2 linked regions of the Anolis sagrei genome follow. The protein of the gene in region 1 purifies or fractionates together with the protein of each later gene. This does not show direct contact. Links are inferred from orthologs where the notes say so. Each region holds a gene or a part of one and is shown on either strand. Other genes may lie near its edges.

Region 1 (7,958 bases):
CCCTTTGCAAAACATGTTTCTCTGGCCTCCTTCGTGTTAGCTATTCTCACACTCCTTTGAACTCCTCTGGCCTCCTTCCTGTTAGCTATTTTCTCACTCCTTTGAATTCCTCTGGCCTCCTTCCTGTTAGCTATTCTCACACTCCTTCGAACTCCTCCGGCCTCCTTCTTGTTAGCTATTCTCACACTCCTTCGAACTCCTCCGGCCTCCTTCCTGTTAGCTATTTTCTCACTCCTTCGAATTCCTCTGGCCTCCTTCCTGTTAGCTATTCTCACACTCCTTCGAACTCTGAATTCCAAACAGTCAACCCGATCTAAGGTTCCCATTTCATCAAGGTCAGTCTGTTCGTTAGTGTCCGCCTGTTTCCCTGCTTGCTCATTATCAGACTGAGAACTGTCCTCCTTCTCTGAGTCAATCTGCACCTGGCTATTTTCAGTATCAGCACTCTCATGCCTTGCTGTGGGAAAGTGCACTTCTTCACTGTCTATAACAGGGACATTTTGAACCAGGCTGTGAACCTGAGTCACATCATCCTCATCGGAGGCACTCTGTGGTTCCAGCTGAGTCACTCCCTGCCCTCAATCCCCTTTTGCCAGGCTGCCCAAAACTCACCGGCTGGTAGGTCTCCGCCCCGCAGCGGTCGCAGGAGTAGGTGGCCACCACCATCCGGGGCTTGACCTCTGAGGCGCGGGTCACGATGCCCCGGACGGTCACCAGCTTCCCGATGCAGTCGGCCTTCACCTCACGGATCACTCGGGGCTTCATCCCGGAAGGAGCCTTGAAATAGAGCTCGCTGTTGGGGGCACAGGAGGAGCGTGAGAGGGGCAAAACGGGGAGGCTGGAGTTGGAGGTTTTGGAGAAGTTATGATCTTTGCAAAGGCACGACCTTGTTAGAAATCATAATCTTTTGGGAAATGGCATTCATGCAAGACAATTATGTTTTGCAGCTGTTAAAACTGATATACCTAGTTTTTGAACTGTTAGGGACAAAGATATGCCAATGCACAAAAACGTATACATAAATATGTATATCTAGGGCCCTAAGATTATCTGAGGAGACCCTGCTCATTGTCCCCTCATTGTCGCAATCGCGTCTGGCGGGGACAAATGACAGGGCCTTCTCTGTGGTGGCCCCCCGTCTGTGGAACTCCCTCCCGAGTGAAATTAGATCTGCTGAATCCCTCTTGACCTTCCGGAAACAAGTAAAATCCTGGCTATGGGATCAGGCCTTTGGAGAATAGGCTGACTTACTGACGTGTTGACTTATTTAGAACTGATCAAGTGCCCCTGGATAATGATTTAAATTGGTGATGGCTGACTATTTGTTGTCTGTTCTTATAGTTTTATATTGTTTATGGCTTCCCCACCCCTTCCCCCCTGACCCCTCCCCTTTTGTGGGCGGGACTCACAATCTGCGCATGAGCTCTGCGGGGAAGTTGTTCTGTGGGGGGCGGGACTGCGCAGCCCCCCTTTCCCCGCCTCCTCCTCGGCGCCCTTCCAGCAGCAGCCGGTGCTCCAGGTAGACGTCCAGCGCATCCTTGTGCACAATCTAGGCAGAGCGGAAACACAATATTATTAGCCTTCTATATTTTCCTATCTCTGGCATCCTCCTCCATCAGAATTCTGGGAAATGTAGTTCCAGGCTGCGTTTTTTATTTTGCTATTCCCGGCCTAAGAGGGAATGGCAAAGGACTACATTTCCCGGCATCCTCCCCGCTGTGCATCCTGACCTCTCTCTGCTGGAATATCATATTATATGTATAGACAATATATTAAATTATAGAGTATCATATTATGTGTCTATGCAAAATATATTATATTACAGAATATCATATTATGTTTCGATGCAAAATATTATATTAGTGAATATCATATTATGTGTCTTTGCAATTATTATATTACAGAATATCCCATTATGTGTCTATGCAATATATTATTATAATGCCATACTACATATCTATGCAATATATTATAGAATATCATATTGTGTCAATGGAAAAATTATATTTCAGAATATCACGTTATATGTATATGCAATATATTACAGAATATCATATTATGTGTATGCAAAATATTATATTATATTTCAGAATATCATATATGCATATGCAATAATATATATTACAGAATACCATATTACGTATCTATGCAATATACAGGGTTAGTCAAAATGAATAGGCCAATTCGGGTACAATTAATTCTCTTATTGGCCTATTCATTTTGACTAACCCTGCAGATATCACATTATATGTTCATATAATATATATTTCTAAATACCACACGTATATACAATATATAATATATCAGAATATCATATTATATATATATATATATATATATATATATATATATATACACACAACATATATTAGAATATCATATATTTATATACAATATATTATACAGGGTTAGTCAAACTGCATAGGCCAATAAGCCATTCAATTGAATGGCTTATTGGCCTATTCATTTTGACTAACCCTGTATTATAATACAGAATGTCATATTATATTATCAGCATAGCACAGGAGACAAGGGAGAACTTTAGTGTCCTCCCCCCCTAAGAATTCTGGGAAATGTAGTTCCAGGCCGGTTTTTGGTTTTTTGGGGGTCTATTCCCGGCCTAGGAGAGAATGGCAAAAAGACTACATTTCCCAGCACCCCCTTGGTTGTAAGGAGTGCTGACCTCTCTCTGCTTGTAGGCGGGCAGGAGCCGGGCGGCGGCGTCGGCGAAGAGGCGCTGGTAGCGGGGGGCGTTCTCGCAGGCGGCCTCCGCCAAGGCCGGGTCCTCCTCGGCCACGTCGTCCAGGTCCACCCGCAGCGTGGAAGCCTCGCGGTGCGCCAGAAGGGTCTGCCCAGGAAGGGAGAAGGTTAGCAAGGGGTGGGAGCCTCCGGGGAACTCTCCCCGCCGCCTCGGGCACGGACTCACCAGCTGCTCCCGGTAGGGGAAGTGTTTCCCGGCCTGGTCCGAAGGGAGAGAAGAGGAAGAGCTGGAGAAGAATCCCTCCAGGAAGGACGCCGCCTTGTCTGATAGGAAAACAGGAAAAGAAGCGTCAGGCAAAGGGAGAGAGAGGCCTTTCCATCTCCTCCCCGCCGCTTCCTCGCTGCCCTCACCCATCTCGGCGTCGTAGTCCCCGCGTAGGCCCAGCTTCTCGCCTTTTCCCGACGCCATCCTGCCTTCTCTTCTTCTGACTGCTTTTTCCCGCGCGCGGGAAAAGGCGGCGCTGCTCCGATTGGCCGGCTCCACACGACTCAGCCAATCCCCGCCCTCCTTTCTGTCAATCCCCGCCCTCCTTCCTTGTTAGCCACGCCTCCATCTCGCTCTGGCTTTTTCCCGCGCTAGTCAAGATTGACATAATCCGATTGGTCCGCGCGGTTCCATCCCACAGCCAATCCCTGCTCGGGATTGCGCGAAAGGGAGGAGACTCTTCCACAGCTCCCACATACGTGACGCAACACCTCGGAACCAATCCCTGCTCGGCTTTGGAAGTAGAGGGCGGGGACTCGATTCAATAGGCCACGCCTCTATGTGAAGCAACGCCCCGCAGCCAATCCTTGCTTGGCTATGCAGAAAGAGGCGGAGACTTGCTCTTATACAGGCCACGCCTCTACGTGAAGCAACGCCCCGCAGCCAATCCCTGCTCGGCTATGCAAAGAGAGGCGGAGACTTATCCGTATGCAGGCCACGCCTCTCCGTGACGTAAAACCCTCAACCAATCCCAGTTCGTCTTTGAAGGGAAGGGCGGGGAAATTTCTTTATGCAGGCCACGCCTTTACGCCCCGCAGCCAATCCCTGCTCGCGTTTGAAGAGAAGGGCGGGGACTCGTCGTTCTCTAGGCCACGCCTTCAAGTGACGCACAACTCCGCAGCCAATCCTTGCTCGCGTTTGTAGAGAAGGGCAGGGACTCTTCATTCTCTAGGCCACGCCTTTAAGTGACGCAGCACGCCACAGCCAATCCCTGCTCGCCTTTGCAGGCAGGGGCGGGGACTTGCTGTTATACAAACCACGCCTCTACGTGACGCAACACCTTGCAACCAATCACCGCTCACATTTGCAGAGAAGGGCGGAAACTCTTCCTTGTGTAGGCCACGCCTCTACGTGACGCAGCACCTCGCAACCAATCACCGCTCGTCTTTGCAGCGAAGGGAGAAAACTCTTCCTTGTGTAGGCCACGCCTCTACGTGACGCAGCACCACGCAACCAATCACCGCTCGCCTTTGCAGGCGGGGGCGGGGACTTGCCGTTATACAAACCACGCCTCTACGTGACGCAGCACCTCGCAACCAATCACCGCTCGCCTTTGCAGGCGGGGGCGGGGACTTGCCGTTATACAAACCACGCCTCTACGTGACGCGACACCTCGCAACCAATCACCGGTCACATTTGCAGAGAAGGGCGGAAACTCTTCCTTGTGTAGGCCACGCCTTTACGTGACGCGACACCTCGCAACCAATCCCTGCTCGTCTTTGCAGAGAAGGGCGGAAACTCTTCCTTGTGTAGGCCACGCCTCTACGTGACGCTACATTCCTCAACCAATCCCTTCTCCCTTTATCACTGAAGGGTGGAGACTCTTCCTTGTGCAGGCCACGCCTCTAGGTGACGCAGCGCCTGTGAGCCAATCCCAGGCGGGAGGGGCGTGACCTCCCACAGGCCACGCCCCCTCCCTAGTATTTTGCTTCTTCCAGGAAGTAAGGCTAAAGAGAGTGCTCCGGGGCGTGTGCAGAGTGTTTCCTGGAGGGCCGAGGATGATCTCGGAGGTGTTCGTGCTCTCCTCGCAAGGGGACCGGCTCCTCTACAAGGACTGTATCCTTCCTGAAGGGCAGAAGGGGAGAGACTTACTTACTTACTTACTTAGGCGATCCCTCGTTGGACGAGTAAGATGGTCTTCCTTGATGACTATTTTTGTGGGTTTGTAGGTGGCTGTGGAGCCCTCTTCTTGACCCACATCTTCTCCCACAGTGAAGGCATCAGTTTCCAGGTGGAAGGCGGTCCCGGTCGGGGTTGGCTTGACGCGCCTTCCTCCTGGCACGTTTCTCTCTTTCACCCTCCACTCGTGTCTCCTCAAATTCTGCAGCACTGCTGGTCACAGCTGACCTCCAGCTGGAGCGCTCAAGGGCCAGGGCTTCCCAGTTCTCAGTGTCCATGCCAGAGTTTTTAAGGTTGGCTTTAAGCCCATCTTTAAATCTCTTTTCCTGTCCACCAGCATTCCGTTTTCCATTCTTGAGTTCAGAGTAGAGCAACTGCTTTGGGAGACGGTGGTCGGGCATCCGGGCAATGTGGCCAGTCCAGCGGAGTTGGTGGCGGAGAAGCATCACTTCAATGCTGGTGGTCTTTGCTTCTTCCAGCACGCTGACGTTTGTCCGCTTGTCTTCCCAAGAGATTTGCAGGATTTTCCGGAGGCAGCGCTGATTGAATCGTTCCAGGAGTTGCATGTGACGTCTGTAGACAGTCCACGTTTCGCAGGCATAGAGCAGGGTTGGGAGGGGAATAGCTTTATAGACAAGCACCTTGGTATCCCTACGGATGTCCCGGTCCTCGAACACTCTCTGCTTCATTCGGAAAAATGCTGCACTTGCAAAGTTCAGACGGTGTTGCATTTCAGTCTCAATGTTGACATCTGTAGACAGTCCACGTCTCGCAGGCATAGAGCAGGGTTGGGAGGACAGTAGCTTTATAGACAAGCCCCTTGGTCTCCCTACGGATGTCCCAGTTCTCAAACACTCTCTGCTTCATTTGGGAAAATGCTGCACTTGCAAAGCTCAGACGGTGTTGCATTTCAGTCTCAATGTTGACATCTGTAGACAGTCCACATTTCGCAGGCGTATAGCAGGGTTGGGAGGACAATGGCTTTACAGACAAGCACCTTGGTATCCCTACGGATGTCCCGGTCCTCAAACACTCTCTGCTTCATTCGGGAAAATGCTGCACTTGCAAAGCTCAGACGGTGTTGCATTTCAGTCTCAATGTTGACATCTGTAGACAGTCCACATTTCGCAGGCATAGAGCAGGATTGGAAGGACAATAGCTTTATAAACAAGCACCTTGGTATCCCTACGGATGTCCCGGTCCTCAAACACTCTCTGCTTCATTCGGGAAAATGCTGCACTTGCAAAGCTCAGACGGTGTTGCATTTCAGTCTCAATGTTGACATCTGTAGACAGTCCACATTTCGCAGGCATAGAGCAGGGTTGGGAGGACAGTAGCTTTATAGGCAAGCCCCTTGGTCTCCCTATGGATGTCCCGGTCCTCAAACACTCTCTGCTTCATTCGGGAAAATGCTGCACTTGCAGAGCTCAGGCGGTGTTGTATTTTGGCGTCGATGTTGACTTTGGTGGAGAGGTGGCTGCCAAGGGAGCGGAAATGGTCCACATTTCCTAATGTTACACCATTAAGCTGTATCACTGGCATTGGAGAGGGATTGGCTGGTGCCTGCTGGAAAAGCACCTTGGTTTTCTCAATGTTCAGTGAGAGGGCGAGCTTCTCGTATGCTTCTGCGAAGGTGTTTAGAGTGGCTTGTACGTCTTCTTCTGAAGGGGAGGGACAGTGGGGGAGGGCCCTGGTCCCGTTGCCCTCCTTGACCCTCTGCGCACAGTCCGTGGGGAGGGCCACCCCGGCCTCGTGGAGGACTTCTTCCGGAAGGTGACGGCGCTGCCTCCTGACCAGGCCCCGGTCTTCATGGTGAGAAGGGGGTCAAGGCCAAGGGGGAAGCACCGGACGTCACTCACCCTCTGACGTCACACCCTCCCTTTCTCCTGCAGGAGGCGCATCCCCCGGGGCTCCACTTCGCGCATGTGCGTCATGGGGGGCTCTACTTCGTGGCCACCATCCCTTCCAAAGCTTCACCTTTTGCAGCACTGGAGTTCCTCAACAGGTCAGTCGGGGGCGGGGCTTGGAGCTAGGCCACGCCCACTGCACAGCTAGGCCACGCCCCTATGCATGGGACAACTTGGGCCCTCCCTCTCTCCAGGTGTTGTGGACTCCAATTCCTACCTTCCTAACACTTGGAAGGAGGTCCTAAGTTGGCCCATGCCTGGCTAAATCCTACATCAAGGCCAGCTCACACCCCACAACAAAGGATTCCCCCAGGAAGGAAGCAGCCAGGCTTTGAAGGTGCAAGGCTACTCAATGCTAATCAAGCTAGCCAATAGCAACATTCACACTTGGCTCCAACAGATTATAGAGTTCTCTCTTTCTCCCATCCTTGACAACATTCCACAGATATATAGATATATATATATATATATATATATATATATATATATATATATAGGATTCCCCTGGACAGGAAGCAGCCAGACCTTGAGGCTGCAAGGCTACTCAATGTTAATCAAGGTGGCCAGTAGCAACATTCACACTTGCCTCCAACAGATTATAGAGTTCTCTCTTTCTCCCACCTTTGACAACATTCCACACACACACACATATATATAGGATTGCCTCGGGCAGGAAGCAGCCAGGCCTTGAAGGTGTAAGGCTATTCAGTGCTAACCAAGGTGGCCAATAGCAACATTCACACTTGCATCCAACAGACTAGAGTTCTTTCTTTATCTCACCCTGGACATCATTCCATAGATAGATAGGATTTCCTGTGCAGGAAGCAGCCAGACCTTGAAGCTGCAAGGCTATTCTGTGCTAATCAAGGTGATCTATAGCAACATTCACACTCGCCTCCAACAGACGAGAGTTCTTTCTTTCTTTTTCCCACCCTGGACATCATTCCACAGATAGATAGATACATACATACATACATAGATAGCTAGCTAGATATAGGATTGCCTTGGGCAGGAAGCAACCAGACCTTGAAGCTGCATGGCTATTCAGTGTTGATCAAGGTAGCGAATAGCAACACCCTGGTGGCACAGTGGGTTGAACCCCTGTGCCGGCAGGACTGAAGACCGACAGGTCGCAGGTTCGAATCCAGGGAGAGTGTGGATGAGCTCCCTCTGTCAGCTCCAGCTCC
Region 2 (8,303 bases), on another chromosome or scaffold:
TAGTATTTATGGGAAATGAAGAACCTGTCAATGGTGGCTTAAGAGTCGTAGTGATCAGGAATAGTGTGGTGTGAACCTGTGCTTTTCAGTTGCATATACAAGCAGTTCCCAAGGTACAAACATCTGACTCACAGACTTAAGAACGGGGATGAGGCAACAGGAAGTGAGAGAAATCTACCCCTTGGAAGTGAAATTCACTCCTGAAAGAGTTATCATGAGGAAAAGGTGTCTCCACTGAAGCTTTCTCGTCAATCCTTATTTTCACAACAAGCCATTTTCCCCCCAAAATCCAATTCTCACAGGGACAGAAAGTGAGGTGAAACCTTCTGAAGTATAAAACCCGCCCAGTGGTGTTTTGGAAAACACGGCCACTTTCTACCATAATTTCTTGAAGCCTCACATATTGATTTAGCACCAAGAAGAAGACTTAAACACATCTAATGTATACATGCCACTGCCCAGTGATGCTTTGGAAAACTTTGACTCACCAAGCCGCTTGCGAGGGCTGAGAGGCAAGACTTGCTTCTTAGAAGAGAGTGGTGAGACTGGGGCTGAATTCAACTTTGAACCCTCTTCTTTAACTAGAGTCTGGCAAAGGGTCCTGGTTGATTTCCGCTTAGGAAAGTCGATTTTATTCTGTTTCTGGGTTTGGGACTTAGATCTGGTACTAGGCATGGTGGATACTAAAACCAAAAAGAAGCATATAAAGAATCAGTATACAAGTTAAAACATACACAACTAATCTCTGCTTCAGACACATGCATATGAAGCACCTTTTAAATCTCAACTATTATATTATTCCTAGGTATAATTTTGTCTTACAGGAGTTATTTATTTATTGATCATATTTATACCCCGCACCCCAAAGGTGACTCAGGGCAGCTTTACACATAGGCAACTATTCAATGCCTTAAAAACATACAATTAAAATAAACATTTAAATTAAGATTAAAATCAATGAACATTAAAATAGTTAAAAACATTGCAACCATTATTAAAACTGCACCATCCACAATCGTAATCTGAGGCTATTCCAATAGTCATTGCATATATTCTTCTTCTAATCCTTCTATTGCACTTCTCCGAAGGCTTGGTCCCAAAGCCACATTTTCACTTTCCTTCTGAAGGCCGGGAGGAAGGGAGCTGATCTAATGTCACTGGGAGGAAGTTCCACATCTGAGGGGCCACCACTGAGAAGGTCCTGTCTCTCGTCCCCACCAGTCGCACATGAAAAGGAGGTGGGACTGAGAGCAGGGCCTCCCCTGACGACCTTAATTTCTGAGGTGGTTCATAGGGGGAGATGCATTCAGACAGATAAGCTGGGCCAGAACCATTTAGGGTTTTATAGGCTAAAGCCAGCACTTTAGTAATAATACTGAGCCTGGGCTGGAGCACAAAATACTGTCCATTTCTTGTTCAGGAAAGATCTCAGTAACCAATAACTCTTCATTTCCTTCCAAGGTCATTTATCTCTCCCCCCCCCCCCCCCCTTAAACTTTAGACTGAGGGGCATCCTAAGTCTGAATTGACTTGAAAGCATATAACAATAACAATCCTAATTGTTGGATAGTGTGATTTTAATGCTTTTATTAGGTGTTTTAGTTCTTATATTTCATGTTTAAAATGTCCTTTTATCTTATCTTATGGTGAATTGTCCTATTGATTTTATGCCTAGTTATATGTTGTCGATTTGAGTTTTGGTTTATGCATGTAAGGCATTTAATTTTGCTGTTATATTTGTGTAAGCCACTTTGAATCCCCCAAGGGGTGAGAAAAGCAGAATATAAATACCGTAAATAAATAAATAAGTAAATAAATAAATAAATAAATAGACTCATCAGCCAAAAACATGCTCACACTTCCCATTCAAATACTGGTAAGTTTATGTTGGATAAAACTGATCTTCATTTTCAATACTTTATTGTTCTTTCATGGGTTATTTGTACAGTGTGCACACGAATTCGTTCATGTTGTTTTCAAGCTATATTCCAACCCTCAACAGTCTGTGGGACTGTGAACCCTCTGTTTTAAAAGTCTGAAGACCTCTGATTTATTGCAATAAAGACACATTGCTACAACCTGATGTTGAATGTTTCTCAGTGCCCTTCATCACAATCATTATCCCAATGCCAATGCTTTTTGTCGTGTCAGGAGTAACTCCTGGTGTGAGAGAATTGGCCGTCTGCAAGGACGTTGCCCAGGGGATGTCTGGATGATTTTTTTTAATGTTTTTATCATCCTTGTGGGAGGCTTCTCTCATGTCCCCGCATGAGGAGCTGGAGCTGATAGAGGGAGCTCATCCGCCTCTCCCCAGATTCGACCTGTTGGTCTTCAGTCCTGCCGGCACAGGGGTTTAACCCACTGCGCCACTGGGGGCTCCATGCCAATGCTACTAAAACAAGACAGAGGATGAGGAAAAGGTGTGACGCATGCAAAAAAGTTGTAGAAATATCTTTGCCAGAAGACCTGTTAACTGAGGGATACCTGTAAACATATGTACTTCCATTCTACGCTGGTCAGACATTATCATGACCCAAACATTTGTTTAATCAGGACATTATATAGGTCAGGCATCCTCAAACTGTGGCCCTCCAGCTGTTTGGGCCCCCAACTCCCTGAAGCCCTATCGAGTTTGTTCAATTGCCAGGAATTCTGGGAGCTGAAGGCCCAAATAGCTGGAGGACCACAGTTTGAAGATGCCTGATATAGGTGATTTATTTATTTTTTTATTATGACATTTATATGCTGCCCTTCTCACCCTGAAGGGGACTCAGAGTGGCTTACAAGATATATATACATACAATATATTATATTATTAGCATAGTACAATATCAGTATTAAATATTACTATATTGTACTATACCATTACATTATGATATTATTAGTAATATTACATATAATGTTCATTCGTTTCAGACTCTTTGTGACTTCATGGACCAGCCCACGCCAGAGCTCCCTGTCGGCCGTCACCACCCCCAGCTCTTTCAAGGTCAATCCAGTCACTTCAAGGATACCATCCAATATAAATATATAACTATAATATCTTATTATTGCTTGTTCCAAATCTCCAGCATTCAGCATTTTGGCCATCCATACATGGAGGTTTCATGAGTATTGAGTAATAACCAGTTTGGGGAAAACGTAAACAGAAACCCCAAGTTTTCTCATTCAGTAAAGAAGTCGTTATAATATTAGCAATATTATAAAGTTGGTCTACAACATAAGTTGTCTTCCTCTATTATGACAGTAATATATTGCACAAATACAGCTGTTTTAAAGCATATGAATGGCAATTAAAGTGGGGTAAAACTGCATTCCAATTACCTTCAGTTTTCTTCTCAGGGAAACCGCGCCAAACTCTTCACTATCTCCTTCCTTCTGATATGACAATTGCATCTGCCGGCTCTCGCGCGCGCGCGCCAGCCGTCCGCTCGAGCTCTCCCATTGGTTCCCCGGAGCGCGCGCTCCGCCTCCTCCCAGCCAATCGCCGCTTTTCGCGCCAAACCCAAACCTCTCATAGGCTTCTTCGTCTTCTCATGGGCAGTGTCAGAGCCAGGACCTGGCTTCCGGTTAGAACGTTCAGGTTAAGCGCTTTAGAACGGGGAGGGGGCACGTGCGTGGTCTTCCACGTGTCAATCAAACTGCAACTTCCTTCAACTCTAACCAGCCTGATTTAAAAAAAAACTATTAAGCCTGCTGTGCCATAGAATTCTTGAAGTTATGTTGATCCGGCTCGATGGGCATTAGAATCCTTTAAATTACGCTGATTCTCGCTTCATAGTCCTTGAAGCTATGCTGACCTATTCTAATGGGCCTCATAGTCCTTGAAGGTTTATTTATCGTGTCAGGAGCGAACCAAAACAGTTGTATTAAAATCAAACAGACAAACAAAACACAAAGTTTGCAGACTTTGCATTCTATTAAATGTCCTTTGACCAGTATCTGGCCACTTGGGAGTGCCTCTGGTGTTGATGCAAGAAGGTCCTCCATTGTGCATGTGGCAGGGCTCAGGTTGCATTGTAGTACGTGGTCAGTGGTTTGCTCTTCTCCACACTCTCATGTCATGGATTCCACTTTGTAGCTTTGGACTCCCAGAATTCCCAGCTGTCTCATAGGCATGCCCAAACTCTGGTCCTCCCTCCAGGTGCTTTGAACTTCAATTCCCATAATTCCCAAAAGCGTGAATGGACTCCGGCTGCTGAGAATGGGTTCCAAATGCACCGAGGAAAACAACCAGCTGAGAAGAACTCTCGGCGCGCGTCAGTCGAAAACACGGGGGCGGGGCTTGCCAGGGACGGATTGGCTGAGGCATTAGTGGGCGGGGCTCCCCAGAGCGGGAAGCAATCGCTGAAAGGGGCGTGTCCTGAGCAGCTACTGGCGGCTGGGCTTTCCAAGGCTGACTGGAGCAAAAGAAGTGCATCCATTGGAGCTTCCCTTCTCGGAAGAGGAATGATTGGCTGAGGAATTAAGGGGCGGGGCTTGCCAGGGAAGAATTGGTCGAGAAGTTAAAGGGGGCGGGGCTTTCCGAGAATGAATGGAGTGAAAGGGGTGTATCCATTGGAGCTCCCCAGATTTGGCTATTATTTCTACTAATAATGTTACTAGCAATATATATATATATATATATATATATATATATATATATATATAATATGTTACTAGCAATATACTTATTTTATATTAATATTGATGTAATTATTATCTATATTTATTTATTTACAGCAATGATTCTCAAGCTTTCTAATGCCATGACCCCTAAACAAAGTTCCTCATGTTGTGGTGACCCCCAACCATAATTTTGCTACTGTTATGAATTGTAATGTAAATATCTGACATGCAGGATGTATTTTCATAGTTACAAACTGAACATAATTAAAGCGTAGTGACTAATCACAAAAACAAAATGTTCGGGGGAGTATGGACAACAGATAATGGGATCTGCAGTACCTTCAACTGATGCAGCTCTGACTTCCACAGACCACTGAAATCCCCATGAATTACAGACCTGGACCAAACTTGGCACACAGAACCCCAATGACCAATAAAAAATACTGCAGGAGTTTGGGAGGAATTGACAGCAATTTACGGGAGATCTAGTTCTATATCCGGAGAGCACTATGAACCCAACTTGGCACAAATACTCAATATGCCCAAATTTTAAGACTGGTGGAGTTTGGTGAAAATAGATCTTGACATTTGGGAGTTGAAGTTGCTGGGATGTATAGTTCCTCTGCGAACCAAGAGCATTCTGAACTCCAACAAGAATTGAATTGAAGCAAACTTGGCATACAGAACTCCCATGACGAACAGAAAATACTGGAGAGGCTTGGGGAAAATAGACCTTGGCATTTGGGAGTTGGAAGTTGCTGGGATGTATAGTTCCCCTGCCAACAAAGAGCATTTTGAATTCTAACAACAATGAAATGGAACCAAATTTGGAACACATAGCTGATATGCTTACAGTTGATTACTGGAAGGCTAACCTTTGTTTCTGGGAGTTGTAGTTCACTCACAACCAGAGAAACCGGCCTCCACCGATGATGGACCTGGATCAAACTTGGGTAGCGAGAGCCAGTCCGAGCAGGGAGCCTTCCCCTCAACCCTCGCTCCTTCCGAACCCAGCAGGGGTTGAGGGCCGAGTGGCAAAGGCTTCCCGGTCAGCCAAGCCGCATGGGGAGCCTTCCCCTTGACCCTTCCAAGCCAAACAGGGGGTGAGGGCCGAGTGGATCCCCTTGTCCCTCGCCCCTTCTGAGGCGAGGAGGCGAGGACCGAGTGGCAAAGTCTCCCTAGTCGGCTAGGCCACATGGCGAGCCTTCCCCTTGACCCTCGTGCCTCTTCCGAGCCCAGCAGGGAGCGAGGGCCATGTGGCAAAGGCTCCTCAGAGGGCCAAGCAATGCAGGGAGCCTTCCCATCGATCCTTCTGAGCCAGGAGGGGGCGGGCCAACCGAGGTGGCTTCACGACCCCCAGAAAATGGCCCAATGACCCCCTGAGGGTCGCGACCCCCAGGTTGAGAACCACTGCTCTAAATGAACCTTGCCAGGAAAATATGGCTACCTTAAGTTGGAAATTATTTGAAGGCACACAACTGAAGGTATACATTCACTAAAAGCGTATTGATCTTGGAGGCAGAAAACAAATTAGGAGGACACCATTTGCATTTGATTAATTTATTAGATCATGGACATAGATTTGATTGTGCATCAATGGATGCAGTTACATTTTCAGTAGAGACAGCATCACTTACTGTGGGTTAGGTACAGTGTTTTTCCAAAATAGTGAATCAATAAAAGAGGCACCATCAAACATAATAGGTAAGGAGTGAAAATGAAGTCCCCTCTTTCCTCTCTTCAACCAGATTTTCTAGAGGTTTTGCAGATATCATTGGTGTAAGATCAATGGAAGCTAGTAATATGTTAACTAGAAATAAAGGTAAGATTGTGATGAATGGTATATAGACTCAGGAGAAAGAGATGCAGATTATCAAAATCTACATATTCTGCTCAGAGCTGTAACCAGTGCACTTCTATCTTTGCAACACAGCTACTCACTGCTGCCTAACTGCACACATCTTTTCTGTTCACTTGCATCTTAAATTTCTACCCGCTGACAATGAACTTTAAAAGAAATGTGCAGGTGCCACTAAGGGAAAAAATTAGGAAGGAGGTATTTAGTATAAAACCAGTCATGTGCTCTATTCATACAAGGATCCCAACAGGAAAACCATCTGTGCTCATGTTGGTAGCTCAGTTTGTGGGAGTGAGGCTTGCACAAAATCTTTGTGGCCAATTTATCTGCAGCAAAAACATTGTAAAGGAGATTTAGAAGACAAAAGCTTCCCAAATACCTTATCAAGAGAATTCCTAGTTGCATGTGATCCATATTCTGGTTCTTGGAGAAACATGACTAATAGTGTTCTCTAGTCAAAGATAATGTTAGTGTTAAAAGCATCAAAGTCAGCAAATACAGTGTATACAAGCTTAGGGGAGACTGCATGTTGAGAAAGTGATTCCCCTGCTCCAAAACATAACACACACATCTCATTTAAGGGTAAGGCACAGTGAGTGAAGCTTGAAGAACTTGCCATTCAATCACATACACTCTACCACAGATACTTGTTCCCTGGCACATTCATACTGTTTCGCCATTCATTTGCAGCACATGCCTATAACTCGCACTACAAAAAACTCAACCAGGGTAGTTCTAACCCTCATCGCATGAAATGTGGATTTCTGCAGCCTGTATGTCATTCAAATTAAGCCAGTTTGTGTGATTTCACATAAATTCTGTTTTTGCATTTACTGTTCTGAATAATGTATTTTACTTTCGTTAACCATGAAATGAAAGAACTGTGCAGGCCTTTCCAAGGACCAACAATACAATACAATTTACCCAGCCATTTATTCCACCAGTCTGCATTTCCAAGAATTTCTATATAATACAGGGGGGCTAGATGCTGTTTTTTAAAGCCCACACTTTCTGGAAGAAGAGTTGCACCCAGGACATTAGAACATGGTCTACAATGGCACACAGCACCAATTTAAAAGCCACTTGTGGCAGGTTCTCTAAATGTACATGACAAAATGCAATCTGTCTTGGGGGCATTTCACATCTAAAGGCTTGTAGATATTTAAATTTTATCCTTTAGACCAGGCATGGGCAAACTTCGGCCATCCAGGTATTTTGGACTTCAACTCCCACAGTTCCCAACAGCCTACCAGCGGTTTTGTAGAGTAGTCATATTATCATACACAGTTGCTCCTTCTCAACGGTTTTTGTCCCCAGAGTATATTCCCCACCTGTATGAAGATCTATATTTATGACCCCGTTCCTTTACGAGTTTCTCCCCCACAAGCAATCTGCTCCATCCCCATCTCATCCTGATTTTAGTATTTTTAATATCTTAATTTTTATCTTGCACATGCGGCCCCGCTCATTGTTATGCTTTGTCATTTTACTGTGTATGATTTTGCTTTATCGTCATTGCACTCATATGTTGTATGTATTTTACTATGTTGTTATTCTGTTTTGGTTTTACTTTATTGTAATATGCTGTTGGGCTTGGCCTCGTGTAAGCTGTCCTGAGTCCCCATTGGGGAGATGGTGGCGGGGTATTAAATAAAGATTATTATTATTATTATTATTATTATTATTATTATTATTATCATTATTAGGAATCGTGGAACTTCAAGGGCCAAAGTCTGTCCATGCCCGCTTGGACCAAGAATCTAAATTTGTAGAACATTTTTGAAACCAGAAACTTTAGCTCTATAAAGATGTATGTCCAAGTTACAGTCTGACTTAA

The links. Proteins that work in one complex are often made in the same cells at the same time.
Region 2: the proteins of MCM7 (region 1) and CDC6 purify together in Homo sapiens (affinity purification with western blotting; 3 studies listed by BioGRID). This does not show direct contact. The link is inferred for Anolis sagrei from reciprocal best matches to the Homo sapiens genes MCM7 and CDC6.

Annotation. Positions count from the first base shown.
Region 1 is NC_090024.1:246,954,829-246,962,786, forward strand, and holds the start of MCM7 (DNA replication licensing factor MCM7), read right to left. Parts: upstream 3,269-7,958; 5' UTR 3,170-3,268; coding exon 3,112-3,169; intron 3,025-3,111; coding exon 2,927-3,024; intron 2,849-2,926; coding exon 2,684-2,848; intron 1,550-2,683; coding exon 1,410-1,549; intron 794-1,409; coding exon 613-793; intron 1-612. Other genes in the region: AP4M1 (AP-4 complex subunit mu-1), read left to right, coding at 4,744-4,801, 6,591-6,676, 6,757-6,869. UniProt on the Homo sapiens protein: Acts as a component of the MCM2-7 complex (MCM complex) which is the replicative helicase essential for 'once per cell cycle' DNA replication initiation and elongation in eukaryotic cells.
Region 2 is NC_090026.1:40,190,919-40,199,221, forward strand, and holds the start of CDC6 (cell division control protein 6 homolog), read right to left. Parts: upstream 3,413-8,303; 5' UTR 3,325-3,412; intron 684-3,324; 5' UTR 676-683; coding exon 489-675; intron 1-488. UniProt on the Homo sapiens protein: Involved in the initiation of DNA replication. Also participates in checkpoint controls that ensure DNA replication is completed before mitosis is initiated.